Linked DNA regions of Macaca mulatta. The protein of the gene in region 2 purifies or fractionates together with the protein of the main gene of each other region. This does not show direct contact. Links are inferred from orthologs where the notes say so. Each region holds a gene or a part of one and is shown on either strand. Other genes may lie near its edges.

Region 1 (7,837 bases), on a different chromosome or scaffold from region 2:
AGCTTAGAGGAGAGAAAAAACAAACAGAACAGCAAGAAACGAATCCCTGTCCCTCTGGGTTAAAGATCACATGTCATGTCTCCTCCAGCTTTAATCAGCAACATATGTTACCCATGGCTTAATGACAGGCAGAGAGAAGAGATGAGGATTAGCGTGACCTCAGCCAGAGCCTGTGGAAAGTGCTATCATTACTTGGGGGAAAATTCGCTGCTATTGAGAATGCCTGGGGTGGGCTGGGCGCAGTGGCTCATGCCTGTAATGCCAGCACTTTGGGAGGCCAAGGTGGGCGGGTCACCTGAGGTCAGGAGTTCAAAACCAGCCTGGCTCAAGTGGTGAAACCCCATCTCTACTAAAAGTACAAAAATTAGCTGGGCATGGTGGTACACACTTGTAATCCCAGCTACTCGGGAGACTGAGGCAGAATCACTTGAACCCGGGAGGCCAAGGTTGCAGTGAGCTGAGATCGCACCACTGTACTCCAGCCTGGGTGACAGAGTGAGACTCCATCTCAAAAAAAAGAGAGTGCGTGGGGTGTGCCAGACCTTGGTCCTGGCACCTGTGATTGTCTGTCACTTTGAATGCCCTCCCCACAGTCTTGGAAGGGGGCAAGTGTCCTCTCCATTTTAGCCCAGAGGGCTGGTGAGTGGCTGATTGAGACCTTCTGATTCAGAAGCTTTACTTTGCTCCTCCAAGCTAGGTACTCGTGCTTGATAAGACGAAAGATGTGTGTGACATCTCCTAAGATGGTTTCCTTCTCCTTTCTACAAAGTATGTAGGCCTTGGTAGAAACTGCTGTTTCTCAGCAGTTGAACCATTTTAAACCCAGATTCTTCCCACTCTGGAATTTGGCTACAAAAGGTAGCAAATTGTTTACCAAGGTTTGTAGCAGTATCTCTTCTCACCAGAGAGTGAATAAGAAATGAAAGCTTTGACTGAACATGGTGGCTCACGCCTGTAATCCCAGCACTTTGGGAGCCCAAGGTGGGAGGATTGCTTGAGACCAGGAATTCAAAACCAGCCTGGGCAACATAGTAAGGCCCCATCTCTACGAAAAGTTAAAAAAAATTAGCCAGGTGTGGTGGCGCACACCTGTGGTCCCAGCTATTCAGGAGACTAAGGTGAGAGGATTGCTTGAGCCCAGAATTTCAAGGCTGCAATTAGCTATGATAGTGCCACTGTACTCCAGCCTGGGTGACCGAGCAAGACCCTGTCTTTAAAAAAAAAAAAAAAAAAGCAAATGGCCAGGCACAGTGGCTCACACCTGTAATCCCAGTACTTTGGGAGGCCGAGGTGGGTGGATCACCTGAGGTCAGGAGTTTGTGACCAGCTTGGCCAACATGGCCCTGTCTCTACTAAATACACAAAAATTAACTGGGTGTGGTGGCATGAGCCTGTAATCCCAGCTACTCGGGAGGCTGAGGCAGAGAATCGCTTGAACCTGGGAGGTGGCAGTTGTAGTGAGCCGAGATTGCGCTACTGCGCTCCAACCTGGGTGACAAGAGCGAAACTCCATCTCAAGAAAACAAAAAGAAATAAAGGTTTCACTTACAGTGGAAAGCGCAAAGGACTTGAGTGAGAAGTTCCCTATATCAACACTAGAGCCATTTTTTCTCCCTGGGTCCAGAAAACAGTCCCAGTGTCCGACATTTATTACCATTCACTTGGGAGCCAGGTGTCTTTTGGAGGCTGAAACCTCACCTCTTCAGTTACGCCTGAGCAGTGATTTGCTGTGGCCCTCTGATGACTGCCTGCTGACTCAGAGGCTCAGTGAGGAAATGAGGTGGCCACCCGGCTTAGGACTTGTCGTGCCCAGTTGTGTATTGATTTGGAATGATTTGTGAGCCCTCTGGGCTGAGGTCAGTGAATCCTGTGACCTCACAGGCCACTGTCCTGAACAGCACTACCATCTAGGCCTGTTAGTAATTTCGTGATTATGAAGTCTGGACTCATATAGAGTGTTATTGCTTGTAAAACACTGTTACATATGTTCTCCTTTTGTCCTTGCTGTAGGCGTTACTTTCATTTTACATTAGAGAAAATTGAAATTTAGAAAACCAGGTTTAGTTAACTGTTCTGGATCAAATATTTAATAGTGTACGTTGTTGCTCTCAGATCTTTGACTCATTTTGAGGAAAGTAGGACATTAGGTTTGGCAACTTCGAGTTGCCATTTTTGGAGATCAGCGACCCAGTTTGATGCTCCTGGGACTGAAATAATGAAAGTTTATCATTTGTGTTAACTCAGCTATCGATACTTCAGACTTTTATGTTTATTTGTCCTTATGTTCTGAACTACCTGAAATGATTGGTATCTGAGAACCTTGAGATGGTGCTTTGAACTTTACTCTTGGAATGTTTCTCCTCTGTTGGAAAGAAAAGGTGAAGGGTCAGGCATAGTGATTCATGCCTGTAATCCCAGCACTTTGGCAGGCTAATGTGGGAGGATCGCTTGAGCCCAGGAGTTCAAGACCAGCCTGGGCAACCCCATCTCTACAAAAAATAATAAAAAATAATTAGCTGGACATGGTGCCACATAGCTATAGTCCCAGCTACTCAGGAGGCTGAGGCAGGAGGATTGCTTGAGCCCAGGAGTTTGAGGCTGCAGTAAGTGATGATTGCGCCAGTATGCTACAGCCTGAGTGACAGAGTAAGACCCACTCTCTTTGGGAAAAGAAAAGGCGGGGGTGAGGGATAATGTAGGCATTGTCATTTACGCTAGTGATCCAAGAGGTGCTAGTGTTTTATTTCTGAAAGTTTCTTTTTGTTTATATTTCATTTAGTTTAATGCAGTGTAGGGTTTCTTCCTGTGACTGGGAACCTTAGGTTGAAAAACAAAAGGTCCTGACTATAATTAACCCTGAGGATTGGATGTTGATAAAAGGTTCGGCTGTTAGTGAATTTAGCAAAGTTTTTTTCTGCACATTCTTTCCTCAAACGGAGATCATCTTTTCTCTGGATTAAATAACCAAATCTTGGCTATTTTCCTCCTTTCTCTGCTTTATTCTTTGGGGGCAGTACATGTTAGATTACTGCTTTTTATAGACTGTAACTTTGCATGTCTAATTTTAAACATGGCTTTTTGGCCGGGCATGGTGTCTAACTCCTATAATCCCAGCACTTTGGGAGGCCGAGGCTAGTGGATCGCCTGAGGTCAGGAGTTCAAGACCAGACTAACCAACATGGAGAAACCCTGTCTCTACTAAAAATACAAAACTATCCGGGCGTGGTGGTGCATGCCTGTAATTCCAGCTACTAGGGAGCCGAGATCACCCCATTGCACTCTAGCCTGGGCAACAAGAGTTAAACTGTCTCAGAAAAAAAAAGGGGGGGGCAGGGGTTGAAGATTGTTTCTTTCTCCCAAGAGAATTTACATTTTCCTGAGCCATGGAATCTTTAGAAAATGGTCATTTTATTTCACAGTGTCATAGGGAGTAGCCCCCATTGATTCGCTCAGGATCCCCCCGCCCCATCCTGGGACACCAGAATTATTATCTAGTTGCAGAAACACTTTTGGGCTGAAGTGAGTGGAGAGACCAGGGTTTTGCCAGGAGTTCGTGGTGTGACCTTGGGCATGTCACATGACTTCCTGAACTGTGCTGTTGTCTGTAAAGTGAGGTGGTCAGACTGGGATCCTCTCCAGGATTGCAGGCCTGTCCTATTACCTTGTTTTACTTCAGTCTGCCAGGATTTCTTTCTGGAACTCCCTGTGGTTCCATTTGCCGAATTTCAGAGATTGCTGTGGGGAATGCTGTGGAATAGGACCTGGCCACCTTGAGCTGAGAAAGGTGTTTGTGATCGATGGTTGATGCCACCAAGCAAACAGGGTTAAGTAACTTGACTGCCTGCATGCTGCTTTTAAAAAGGCAGCTGACGACCTAATTCTGCTTAGAATTAGGGGCTCAGGCTGTGCGTATCATCTCTAGATTCAGATTTCTGGGACCACATCAGAAACCAGGTTTTGCGTGGACCTTTGATGGGCAGTGTGGTGTGGAGTGTGGGAGACTGTGGGTTTTAGACTGGGCAGGCCTGGCTGGGGATTCCAGTTCTACCTCTTGGCAGCATTGCTGAGAGGATGAAAGGAAATGCTGGACGGGAAGTGCAAGATGCAGCTCCAGGCACACGGGAGGCCTCCCCGCAGGGCTGTTGCTAGTGGGAGTGAGGATTAGAAGAAGGCTCCAGCCAGGCGCGGTGGCTCAAGCCTGTAATCCCAGCACTTTGGGAGGCCGAGACGGGCGGATCACGAGATCAGGAGATCGAGACCATCCTGGCTAACACAGTGAAACCCCGTCTCTACTAAAAAAATACAAAAAACTAGCCGGGCGTGGCGGCGGACGCTTGTAGTCCCAGCTACTCCAGAGGCTGAGGCAGGAGAATGGTGTGAACCCGGGAGGCGAAGCTTGCAGTGAGCTGAGATCCGGCCACTGCACTCCAGCCTGGGCGACAAAGCGAGACTCTGTCTCAAAAAAAAAAAAAAAAGAAGGCTCCAAACCATTTGGCACACAGTGGGCATCATCAACGATGTTGATGTTCATTAAATTACAGCTGTGTGCCGGGCGCGGTGGCTCACACTGTAATCCCAGCATTTTGGGAGGCCAAGGCGGGTGGATCACGAGGTCAAGATATTGAGACCATCCTGGCTAACATGGTGAAACCCCGTCTCTACTAAAAAAATACAAAAAACTAGCCGGGCGTGGCGGCGGACGCTTGTAGTCCCAGCTACTCCAGAGGCTGAGGCAGGAGAATGGTGTGAACCCGGGAGGCGAAGCTTGCAGTGAGCTGAGATCCGGCCACTGCACTCCAGCCTGGGCGACAAAGCGAGACTCTGTCTCAAAAAAAAAAAAAAAGAAGGCTCCAAACCATTTGGCACACAGTGGGCATCATCAACGATGTTGATGTTCATTAAATTACAGCTGTGTGCCGGGCGCGGTGGCTCACACTGTAATCCCAGCATTTTGGGAGGCCAAGGCGGGTGGATCACGAGGTCAAGATATTGAGACCATCCTGGCTAACATGGTGAAACCCCGTCTCTACTAAAAATACAAACAGTTAACTGGGCGTGGTGGCTCGCACCTGTAGTCCCAGCTACTCGGGAGACTGAGGCTGGAGAATTGCTGGAACCCGAGAGGCGGAGGTTGCAGTGAGCCAAGATCGCGCCACTGCACTCCAGCCTGGCACAGAGCAAGACTCCATCCCAAAAAAAAAAAAAAAAAAAATTACAGATGTGCTTGTGAAATATAAAAGTACATAAAGTGCCATATAACTTCTCAGAGATGCATATGCAACCTGTTGACTTCTCTCTGTGCGTGTCAGTGGTTGTATAACTGTTAGCGTTTTCCTTTTTTTTTTTTTTTTTTTTTTGAGAGTTGATCTTGCTCTGTCACCCAGGTTGGAGTGCTTGGCTCAACCTGGGCTCAAGTGATCCTCCTACTTCAGACCCCCGAGTAGCTGGGACTACTGGCACACACCACCATGCCTGGCTGATTATTATTATTATTATTTTTTAAGAGATGGGGTTCCTCTATGCTGCCCAGGCTGGGAGTTTTCCTTTTCTTTAAAGAAAAATGCTATCCTACAACTCAGTTTTTACTGACCCATTTTGATCAGTCGCATTGGCTCAGTCCAGGATGTGAGTTGGCTCCACCCTTCCATCTGGAAGATGGAGAGGACTCACGAGGACCCAGGCCGTGAGATCTGTGTGCCAGGAGGCCGGGCTGAGACTGTGAGCACAGTGGGCAGGGCTGCCCAGGACTGTGAGTTTCATTTGTAACCCTGGAGGATTTTCTTTCCTTCTGCAGATGGTGGAAGAGAGTGAAGAGCGGCTCACGGAGGAGCAGATTGAAGCTCTTCTCCACACTGTCACCAGCATTCTGCCTGCAGGGCCAGAGGCTGAGCAGAAGAAGAAGACCAACAGCGACGTGGCAATGGACGAAGAGGACCCAGCGTAGAAGAGCACAGCTGGCCCTGGCATTTCATGACGTCAGAAGGCCCAGCAGCCATTTCCTGGATGTTGAGAGGATTGTTTATTTGATTATACCCTCTATCCCGGCAGGCCTGGCTGGCTTCGTGGTTAGTTGGGTACATCACAAAAATAAGCTAAAAAGAAATATTTGTGCCTTGGGGAGAAGAAACATGGTGAAGACAGGCTGAGGTTGTCAGGGCAGAGAGCTGAAGGTGGGGACAGTGACCGTGGACCCCTCTGTGCTTGAAAGATTTCCTCCACAGCCTTTGCCCCAGTTGTGGGGAGGTCTCTATACACAGCGGGGAAAATGCTTGTGTCTTCTTTGGTGGGCCATGTCCTAATTAGTTTCATCTGCTTCCCTGGGAACTTACTAAACAGGGGCTCAGAGCACTGTTGGGAATCTGGTTAGAACCCCAGAGAGTTACTCTAAGTTAAAATGAGTCACTGACCTTGGCTCACCTTAGAGGAATTTCCTCGAGAACAACTGAGATAAGAAAAGAACCGGCCTGGCCAATCCTTCAACAGCTCTAGAGCCCCTTTTCTCTGCTGGCAGGGGCTTTGTTTACCAGCTCACTGTTTAGGCTAAATGTTAGGGACCAGATCACTGCAGTTGAAAACAGGCATTCCAGGCTTAGTGACAGTGGCAGCAGAAACAGTGTTGGCTGCCTTCCTGACCACCCCACTTTCCTGCCCTGAGACAGCAGCCCAGGGCAGGTGCTTCATATTGAGACCAGGTGAGCCTCATTTGCACAACAGTCAAATTGTTTGCTCCTTTAAAAAGGACACAATTAGCCTGGCCCAGTGGCTTATGCTTATAATCCCAGCACTTTGGGAGGCCAAGGCAGGAGGATCACCTGAGGTCAGGAGTTTGAGACCAGCCTGACCAACATGGAGAAACCCTATCTCTACTAAAAAAAAATACAAAATTAGCCGGGCATGGTGGTGCATGCCTGTAATCGCAGCTATTCGGGAGGCAGAGGCAGGAGAATCACTTGAACCCGGGAGGCGGAGGTTGCAGTGAGCTGAGATTGCACTATTGCACTCCAGCCTGGGCAACAAGAGGGAAACTTCATCTCAAAAAAAATAAGTAAGATTATTACCATGTGAAAACCTTTTTAATATTCAGGAATTCAGGATTTGGAAAGTGTAGTTGCCCCAGGCATGTGGTTGTTGCCTTAGGTCCTGCGAATATTGCTGAAAATTGGATTTTCCACATTCACTGTCTTCCCTGTTTTAGGGAAGAAAATGATCGTAGACATTCGATTTTCCAAATTGGTAGTCTTTCATTTTCAATGCTAATGGGATTACTTCTCTTCCAACCCTCCTGCCCATCCATCCGTCCCACTCCCCAGGCAATTGATTGCAGTTCCGTGCATCTTAACCGTACTATCTGGGATTCAGCTGAAATCTGTTTATAGGCAACATTGAAAGTACCAGATTAGGGTCAGGTGTGGTGGCCCACACCTGTAATCCCTAGCACTTTGGGAGGTGGAGGCGGGCGGATAATGAGGTCAGGAGTTCAAGACCAGCCTGGCCAACATAGTGAAACCCCTTCGCTACTAAAGATACAAAAAAATCAGCCGAGTGTGGTGGTGCACGCCTGTGATCCCAGCTACTCAGGAGGCTGAGGCAGGGGAATCGCTTGAACCCGCGAGGCAGAGGTTGCAGTGAGCCAAGATCGCACATTGCACTCCAGCCTGGCCAACAGGGCGAGACTCCATCTCAAAAAAAATGAATGAAAGTACCAGATTGTACTTGTAAATCTCTCTAGGGTATTGGGAATTTTACTGGGAGCTGTTGATTTATTTCTCAGGGCATATGTGTGCTGTGTGCCGATCTGTCTCATTATTGTCTTTTTTTTTTTTTTTTTTTTTGAGAC
Region 2 (7,937 bases):
GCAGGATTACAGGCGTTAGCCACCTCGCCTGGCCCCACCACATACTTTTAAATGACCAGATATTGGCTAGGCACGGTGGCTCATGCCTGTAATCTCAGCACTTTGAGAGGCCGAGGTGGGAGGATCCTCTGAGGTCAGGAGTTGGAGACCAGCCTGGCCAACATGGTGAAACCTTTTTTTTTTTTTTTTTTTGAGGCGGAGTCTTCACTCTGTCGCCCAGGCTGGAGTGCAGTGGCACCATCTCGGCTCACTGCAAGCTCCGCCTCCCAGGTTCGCGCCATTCTCCTGCCTCAGCCTCCCGAGTAGCTGGGACTACAGGCGCCCGCCACCGCGCCCGGCTAATTTTTTGTATTTTAGTAGAGACGGGGTTTCACCGTGTTAGCCAGGATGGTCTCGATCTCCTGACCTCGTGATCCGCCCGCCTCGGCCTCCCAAAGTGCTGGGATTACAGGCGTGAGCCACCGCGCCCGGCCGGTGAAACCTTATATCTACTAAAAATACCGGGTGTGGTGGTGGGCGCCTGTAATCCCAGCTACTTGGGAGGCTGAGGCAGGAGAATCGCTTGAACCCAGTAAGTGGAGGTTGCATTGAGCTAAGATCACGCCACTGCACTCCAGTCTTGGGAGGCAGAGCAAGATTCCATCTCAAAAGAAAAAAAAAAAAAAGGCCTGAACCAAAGCAATAGTAGTGGGAGTGGAATAAAGAGGAAGCATTTGAGAGGAAGAATTAATGTTAATCTCCTAAACACCTTACTCAATGCTTCCTAGGAATGTGTTAGGGGATTGTGGGAATAAAGAGCTGAAGTAGCATTTGCTCCTGTCCTCAAGTACCTCAAATCCTATAGAAGCAGACCTAAAAATAAAAACATACATGCAGGGAAGACCACATTTAGCATCACTGCAGCCAGTGTCACTGAGAGATCACTATGCTTGTGAAATCAGCAAATTAAGGCACCGTACATTTCCAAGTGCCTCTGTCATTTACCCCAAGGATCTTTTTTAAGTACCTAAATTGTTATTTTGGTTAAAACACACTACAGTATACATCTACACTTCACCAGTTTTTAAAGGCAGGGTAGTGAGGTTCAGACTGGGCCCATCTCTACCACTTGTCAACACATGATCTTGGGCAAGTTACCAAATTCTTTTAGCCCATGCTAACTATCACGTGAAGACGAATGAGACTGGAATGTTGGGGAGAGAGAGCATGATGGGGCTATAGGAGGGGGTATGATCAGATCCTGCAAGGCCATGTGAACTACCATAAAGGTTTTGGACTTTTCTTCTTTCTTTCTGCTTTTCTCTTTCTTCTTTCTCTTCTTTCTCTTCTTTTCCTTCTTCTCCTTCTCCTTCTTCTCTTTCGTTTAGAGATGGGGTGTCACTGTCACCCATGCCAGAGTGCAGTGGCATGATTGTAGATCACTGGACTACAGGTGTGCACCGCCACCCCTGGCTTGGATTTAGTATTCTAAGTTCAATGGGTTGTACTTTTTGTTCCAATTTATTATCACTTTTCTTTTTATTTTATTTTATTTTTTTTGAGACGGAGTCTCGCTCTGTCGCCCAGGCTGGAGTGCAGTGGCCGGATCTCAGCTCACTGCAAGCTCCGCCTCCCGGGTTCACGCCATTCTCCTGCCTCAGCCTCCCGAGTATCCGGGACTACAGGCGCCTGCCACCGCGCCCGGCTAGTTTTTTGTATATTTTTAGTAGAGACGGGGTTTCACCATGTTAGCCAGGATGGTCTCGATCTCCTGACCTTGTGATCCGCCCGTCTCGGCCTCCCAAAGTGCAGGGATTACAGGCTTGAGCCACCGCGCCCGGCCTATTATCACTTTTCAATTGGGATATAATGTCTACAAATAAATGCAAAAATCTTGCCCTGAGTTCAATTAGTTTGGACACTTGTATACGTCAATGTTATACCACCGAAAAGAATATACAGAACATTTCCATCATCGCAGAAAAGTCCCAACTGTTCCTTTCCTGTCAATTCTCCTTGTCTCCGGAACACTTAAGGGTGCTAAGCATATTATGTTTGCGGTGGTTTTTTTTTTTTTTTTTAACTTAGAAGATGTGGTAATATATGTTTGCGTTCCCAAAGGATCACTCTGCTGCTGTGCGGAGGACAGCAAGGCGGGTAAAGCACAGGCCAGGCGAGGGATAATCAGGCAGTATTGCACGGAGGTCGCCTAGCAACCAGAAAGCGCCGTCGGGAGCTGGGAAAACGCTCTGCTCCTGTGAAAGGAGGAGGCCCCGCCCCCCCCCGCCCTCTCTCCGCCCCACGCAGTGCGCGGGTACACGCTCTGTGCGCCTCGGACGGACAGAGGCTTCTTATTGGTGGGTTTTCCGGAAGCGATGGATTCGGAATCTCGCCCGCAGCCACGCAAAACCGAGCGGCTGTGTGCGGTGCGTGGTGCGCGGTACGTGCGGCGGCACGTGGCGCGGGTGCGGGGCGTGGCGTGGCGGGGTCGCGCGGCGCGGGCGCGCACCCGGAGCTCTGAACAGAGAGCGCCTCCTTCTGGCCTCGGTTTCCTCCCGTTGTAGTAGCGGAGCATGGCCCGGACCGGGCACCCGAGACCGCCCCGTGCAGCCTCACTGCCAGCCTGGGGGCCTCAGCGACCGCGACGGGACCAAGGGGCTCGGGGATCCTCTCCGCCCCCGGCCCTGGTGCTTGACTGACCCTCCCGTTCCCAGAGCCCCCAGCGCAGACCGGGATGTTTGTCCTGGTGGAGATGGTGGACACGGTGCGGATCCCCCCTTGGCAGTTTGAGAGGAAGCTCAACGACTCCATTGCCGAGGAGCTGAACAAGAAGTTGGCCAACAAGGTACTGGGCCCACGGCTCGCGGGCAGGCCTTGGCGCGGGAGAGCCAGCGCCGCCCACCGGCCGCAGGCCTGGCCTCCGTCATGCCAAGCCCTGGCCGTGGGCAAGCGGCTTAATGTCTCAGAACTTCTGTTCACCGTGAAACAGGATGTTGAAGGGGATCAAAAGAAAATGGGCTTAAAAAAGGGAGTTGTAACTGGAAGTGTCAGACTCTACAATTCTAAATTACTTTGCAATTGCAAGCAAGTTAACCCCTCTGGGCCTCAGTTTCCATTTGTAAAATGGGGATAAAATGTTGCTGTCCTTCCAGCCATGCATTGGTTTTTTGTTGTTTTTGTTTTGTTTCGTTTCGTTTTTTTTTTTTTTTTCTTTCCCCGAGACGGAGTCTTGCTCTGTCGCCCAGGCTGGAGTGCAGTGGCGCAATCTCGGCTCACTGCAAACCTCCGCCTCCTGGGTTCAAGCAATTCTCCTGCCTCAGCCTCCCGAGTAGCTAGGACGACTACAGGCACGCGCCTCCATGCCCAGCTAATTTTTGTATTTGTATTTGTATTTAGTTTTATTTTTATTATTTACTTATTTATTTGAGATGGAGTCTCGCTCTGTCGCCCAGGCTGGAGTGCAGTGGCGCGATCTCGGAACACTGCAAGCTCTGCCTCATGGATTCACGCCATTCTCCTGCCTCAGCCTCCCAAGTAGCTGGGGCTACAGGGGCCCGCCACCACGCCCGGCTAATTTTTTTTGGATTTTTAGTAGAGACGGGGTTTCACCATGTTAGCCTGGTTGGTCTCGATCTCCTGACCTCGTGATCCGCCGCCTCGGCCTCCCAAAGTGCTGGGATTACAGACGTGAGCCACCGTGCCCGGCCAATTTTTGTATTTTTAGTAGAGACGGGGTTTCTCCATGTGGCCAGGATGGTCTCGATCTCTTGATCTCCCCACCTTGGCCTCCCAAAGTGCTGGGATTACAAGCGTGAGCCACCGCTCTGGGCCAGTGCATTGTTTTTGTGAAGATGAACAGTTCTAGTAGTACAGAGTTAACTGTCAGGAGGTTCATCCCTTCATTCTAGCAGCCAATATTTGTGCGCCATCTCTGCGCCGTGCCTATGTGCCTTAGTGCCAGCTGAGAGGTCCTCCCACTGCCATTTCTCTGGCAGTCCTCCCTTTCCAGGTGTTCTGTGTCGCATCAGTCTTTCCATCTTAGACTTTTTCCTTTCCCTCTCTTTGAGAGCAGGGACTTATCTGTCTTCTTCCCTGAAGTATCCCCTCACTTAGCCAGAGCCTGGCACCAGTAGATGTTCCATAATTTTATGTTTTTTTGTTTGTTTGTTTGTTTGTTTGTTATTTAAACAGAGTCCCGCTCTTGTCGCCCAGGCTGGGGTGCAGTGGTGCAATCTTGGCTCACTGCAACCTCCACCTCCTGGGTTCAAGCTATTCTTCTGCCTCAGCCTCTTGAGTAGCTGGGATTACAGGTGCCTTCCACCACGCCCGGCTAATTTTTGTACTTTTAGTAGAGACAGGGTTTCGCCATGTTGGCCAGGCTGGTCTCAAACTCCTGACCTCAGGTGATCTGCCTGCCTCAGCCTCCCATAGTGCTGGGATTACAGGCGTGAGCCACTGCGCCCAGCCATTTGTCTGTTGAATGAAACAGAGGCAAGGCTCTGAGCTATAGTGTGCTGGGAAAAGCAGATATGAATGAGAGGGGTCCATAGTTGAGGGTGTGGTGACAAATTGAGGTAAATGCTATGAGGGACAGATGTTCACACACCTGTGGGAACAAAGGACCATCCCCTGGAATGAGGGAACCTGCGGCTTTGGTGAGGAGGTGGGGTTGGAACTGAGATCTGATGGTGAAGTAGAGCCAACCAGAGGATTCCTTTCTGGGGTGGGAGGGGCTGGGTGGAGAGAAGAGCCCTGAAGGCAGGAACTGGCATGTGCACAGGCCCTGTGAAGAAGGAATACAGACAGGGCATGGTGGCTCACACCTGTAATCCCAACACTTTGAGAGGTTGAGGCTGGTGGATCACCCGAGGTCAGGAGTTCGAGACCAGCTTGTCCAACATGGTGAAACCCCATCTCTACTAAAAATACAAAAAGTAGCTGTAGCTGGGCATGGTGGCGGGCGCCTGTAATCCCAGCTACTTGAGAGGCAGAGGGAGGAGAATCACTTGAACCCAGGAGGCGGAGGTTGCAGTGAACTGAAATCGTGCCATTGCCCTCCAGCCTGGGTGACAAGAGTGAAACTTTGCCTCAAAAAAAAAAAAAAAAAAAAGAAGAAGAAAGAAGAAGGGGTACAACACCCACCATGGTGTGGAAGAGGCTGGTGTGGCTTGGGCATAGGGAAGGGTAGGCTGGAAAGGTGGGTGGGGGCCAGGCCACACAGCCCTGTAGGATGAGGTACTGGTCTTTATCCATGGAGCATCAGGAGGTGATGGACTGAGAAGGAGCCAGAAAGAGGAAGCTCAGCTTCCTGAGGCAGTCCCTTCAGAAGAGGTGAGGTTGATTTGAAGGTTGTTAGGTGGTGAAGGGAACTCATGGAGTCTTTAAGTGGATGGCTGCTAGTTACTTTGTGAGGTTGAAGGTGAGGGTCTGTTGGGGGATGAGGTACGGACCTTGTGGAGAGAGAAGGGGTAGAAAGTCCAAGAAGGGAATGGAGTCCCTTTGGAGTACAGGTCCTGTTGGGACAAGTCTTATAGTAGTCAATTAGATGAATCATTTGAGAGGAAGCCCAAACAGAAATCCATGGTCTGACAAAGGGCATGGATCTTGTGGCCTTATCTTGGTGAGGTTTGGCCACAACTCTGAGTTCTCTGAGCTTCTTGCTAATTCTTGGACAGTTCCTGCAAGGGTTCTAAGTGGGGGTGATGACATGGTGGCAGATAAGCAGACACTGAGTAGCCAGTTGTTTGAACCACCATGGTGTGGGGTGGGGGCATGGGATTTCTGCACATTCTTGGGGCCTAGGTCATGTGTCCCTCTGCCAGCTGCAGTCCCTGTGGCTGCATCTGTGTGTCTAAGATGTTGTGAGCACAATGGTTCTGACGCTTACCAAACTGTGAGCTCTGGCATTGGCTTTGGGATGTCGGAGACTGCACGTTTAGCTAGCATTCCTGTCACTGGTCCTCACTAGTAATAACAAAGATCCTCAATGATGATTGTTTTCAGCGCACGAGCCAGGCACTAGGCTAGGGGCTTCACATCTGTTATCTCTCTTTATTTTATAATCCTGCCGCCTGGTATTTCCCATTCTCTGATGGGGAGACTGAGGCTCAGAGAGGTGAAGTGACCCTCTTGGCAGTCACACAGTGGGTGGTAGAGCTGGCCTTGGAACCTGGACCTGTTTTGTCACCTGAGGCCCTGCTCCTTCCAGATCTCTGCATCGTTCTGAGGTTCCTTATCCTGGTTTCCTCCACAAACTCATTTTCACCTTAAAAAGGAGATAATCATGGCTTGCTTGCGGTTGTGAGGGGTTCAGACTGCCTGGGAGCTGGGCCTGTGGTCACTCTGTGTCCATGTGTACTTGTGTGTCTATGTTTGTATGCATGCAGGTCGTGTACAGCGTGGGACTCTGCATATGTCTGTTTGATATCACCAAACTGGAGGATGCCTATGTATTCCCTGGGGATGGCGCATCACACACCAAAGGTGGGTATCTTCTGTCCCTGGGGCATTGGGTTTCTTGGGGCTCAGTTTTCTGTAGCAAAAGTTCAAGCCAAAGCCAGGTTCAGTGGTGTGTGCCTGTAAGGCTGAGGGCGGAAGGATCTCTTGAGCCACAGAGTTCAAGGCCAGTCTGGGCAACATAGTAAGACCCTGTCTTTAAATAAATAAATAAATAAATAAATAAAGTATTTAAAAATTTTAAAAGGTTAAAGCCAAAGAGATGGCCAGAGGGTGCTGGGAGTCCTGGAGGTTGAGAGACCTGGGGCCTCATCCTGAATTGGCCAGGAATTGACCCGGTGACAGCGGCAGACTTATCTTCTCTGGGCCTCTGTTTCCTCATCTGTGAGGCCTGGGATGTGGACTAGGTGGTTCTCAAGGCCTCTTCAGCTCTGACATCATAGCTCTATGTCTGTGCCCTTTTGGTCTCATTGCTACTGAGCCCTGCACCTTGTCCATTCCTCGGACTGCCCACTGCCTGTGGAGAGCAGACGGAAGGGGGATCAGCAGGCTGGCTGTGGGAGGGGACTTCGATAGTAGGACACAGTAAGTAAGAGTGTGGTCTCGAGATTCAAAGCTGAACTCTGCCTCTTAATAGCTGTGTGTCCTGACAGAATATGTCATGGCTCTGTGCCTCTGCTTCCTCATCTGTCAGGTGCAGTTCAGGATAGATTTTATATTCCAAGACTGTTGTGAGGATTAAGGAGTTAATACATGAAAGCTCTTAGGACCGAGCCTTAGCACCTAGCGAGCACTCAGTGACTTATCAGCTTGGATTGTTTCTCCCTATTCTGTGGGTCAGTTGGGTGGTTTTCCTCTGGGCTGGCTGGCCTGGGGCTGGACGATCTAGGATGGTCTCACATTCTGAAGGTTGGCAGATTGGTTGGTTACTGGGAGCCTGGGCCGGGCTGGCCCATCTCTGCCCCACATGGTCTCATTTTTCAGTAGGCCAGGCTGGGCTTGGTGGTTTTAAGGTTCCAAAGTTCAGTGCATAAGTACTTCTCAAGCCTCTGCTTCCATCCCATTGGCTAGGGTGAGGGTATGGAGAAATCGACTTCACCTCTGGGTGGGAGAAAGTGCAGTTACATTGCAAAGGGGTGTGCATCCAAGGATGGGAGGGTGATTACCAGATCCTGGAAAGAGGGAGGAGTAGAGAGAGGACCACGCCGAGAGGAGTGGGGACCAGCAGTCAAGGGAGGTGCTGAGCCCCGGGAGAGGGGCATTCTTCATTCTCATGTCTGGACCAAGCCAGTGTAGAAGACAGCGAGAGGCCCATTGAGAGGGTTCAGGCTCCCAGAGCGCAGGCACCGAGCCTGCCATCCCTTGGACACTCAGAAGCACAGTTCTCAGCCTGCCCCAAGCCTCCTGAGTCAGAATCTTGGGGGATGGGCCCAAATACTTTTTTTCTGAGACGGAGTGTTGCACTGTTGCCCAGGCTGGAGTGCAGTGGTGCGATCTCGGCT

What was found. Proteins that work in one complex are often made in the same cells at the same time.
Region 1: the proteins of POLR3H (region 2) and CRCP purify together in Homo sapiens (affinity purification with mass spectrometry; 4 studies listed by BioGRID and IntAct, with this or other methods). This does not show direct contact. The link is inferred for Macaca mulatta from reciprocal best matches to the Homo sapiens genes POLR3H and CRCP.

The regions. Positions count from the first base shown.
Region 1 is NC_133408.1:58,876,759-58,884,595, reverse strand, and holds part of CRCP (DNA-directed RNA polymerase III subunit RPC9), read left to right. Parts: intron 1-5,794; coding exon 5,795-5,944; coding exon of another isoform or gene 5,945-6,146; 3' UTR 6,147-7,837. UniProt on the Homo sapiens protein: DNA-dependent RNA polymerase catalyzes the transcription of DNA into RNA using the four ribonucleoside triphosphates as substrates.
Region 2 is NC_133415.1:9,958,018-9,965,954, forward strand, and holds the start of POLR3H (DNA-directed RNA polymerase III subunit RPC8), read left to right. Parts: upstream 1-2,301; 5' UTR 2,302-2,419; intron 2,420-2,539; exon of another isoform or gene 2,540-2,693; 5' UTR 2,694-2,713; coding exon 2,714-2,824; intron 2,825-6,365; coding exon 6,366-6,462; intron 6,463-6,789; exon of another isoform or gene 6,790-7,501; intron 7,502-7,937.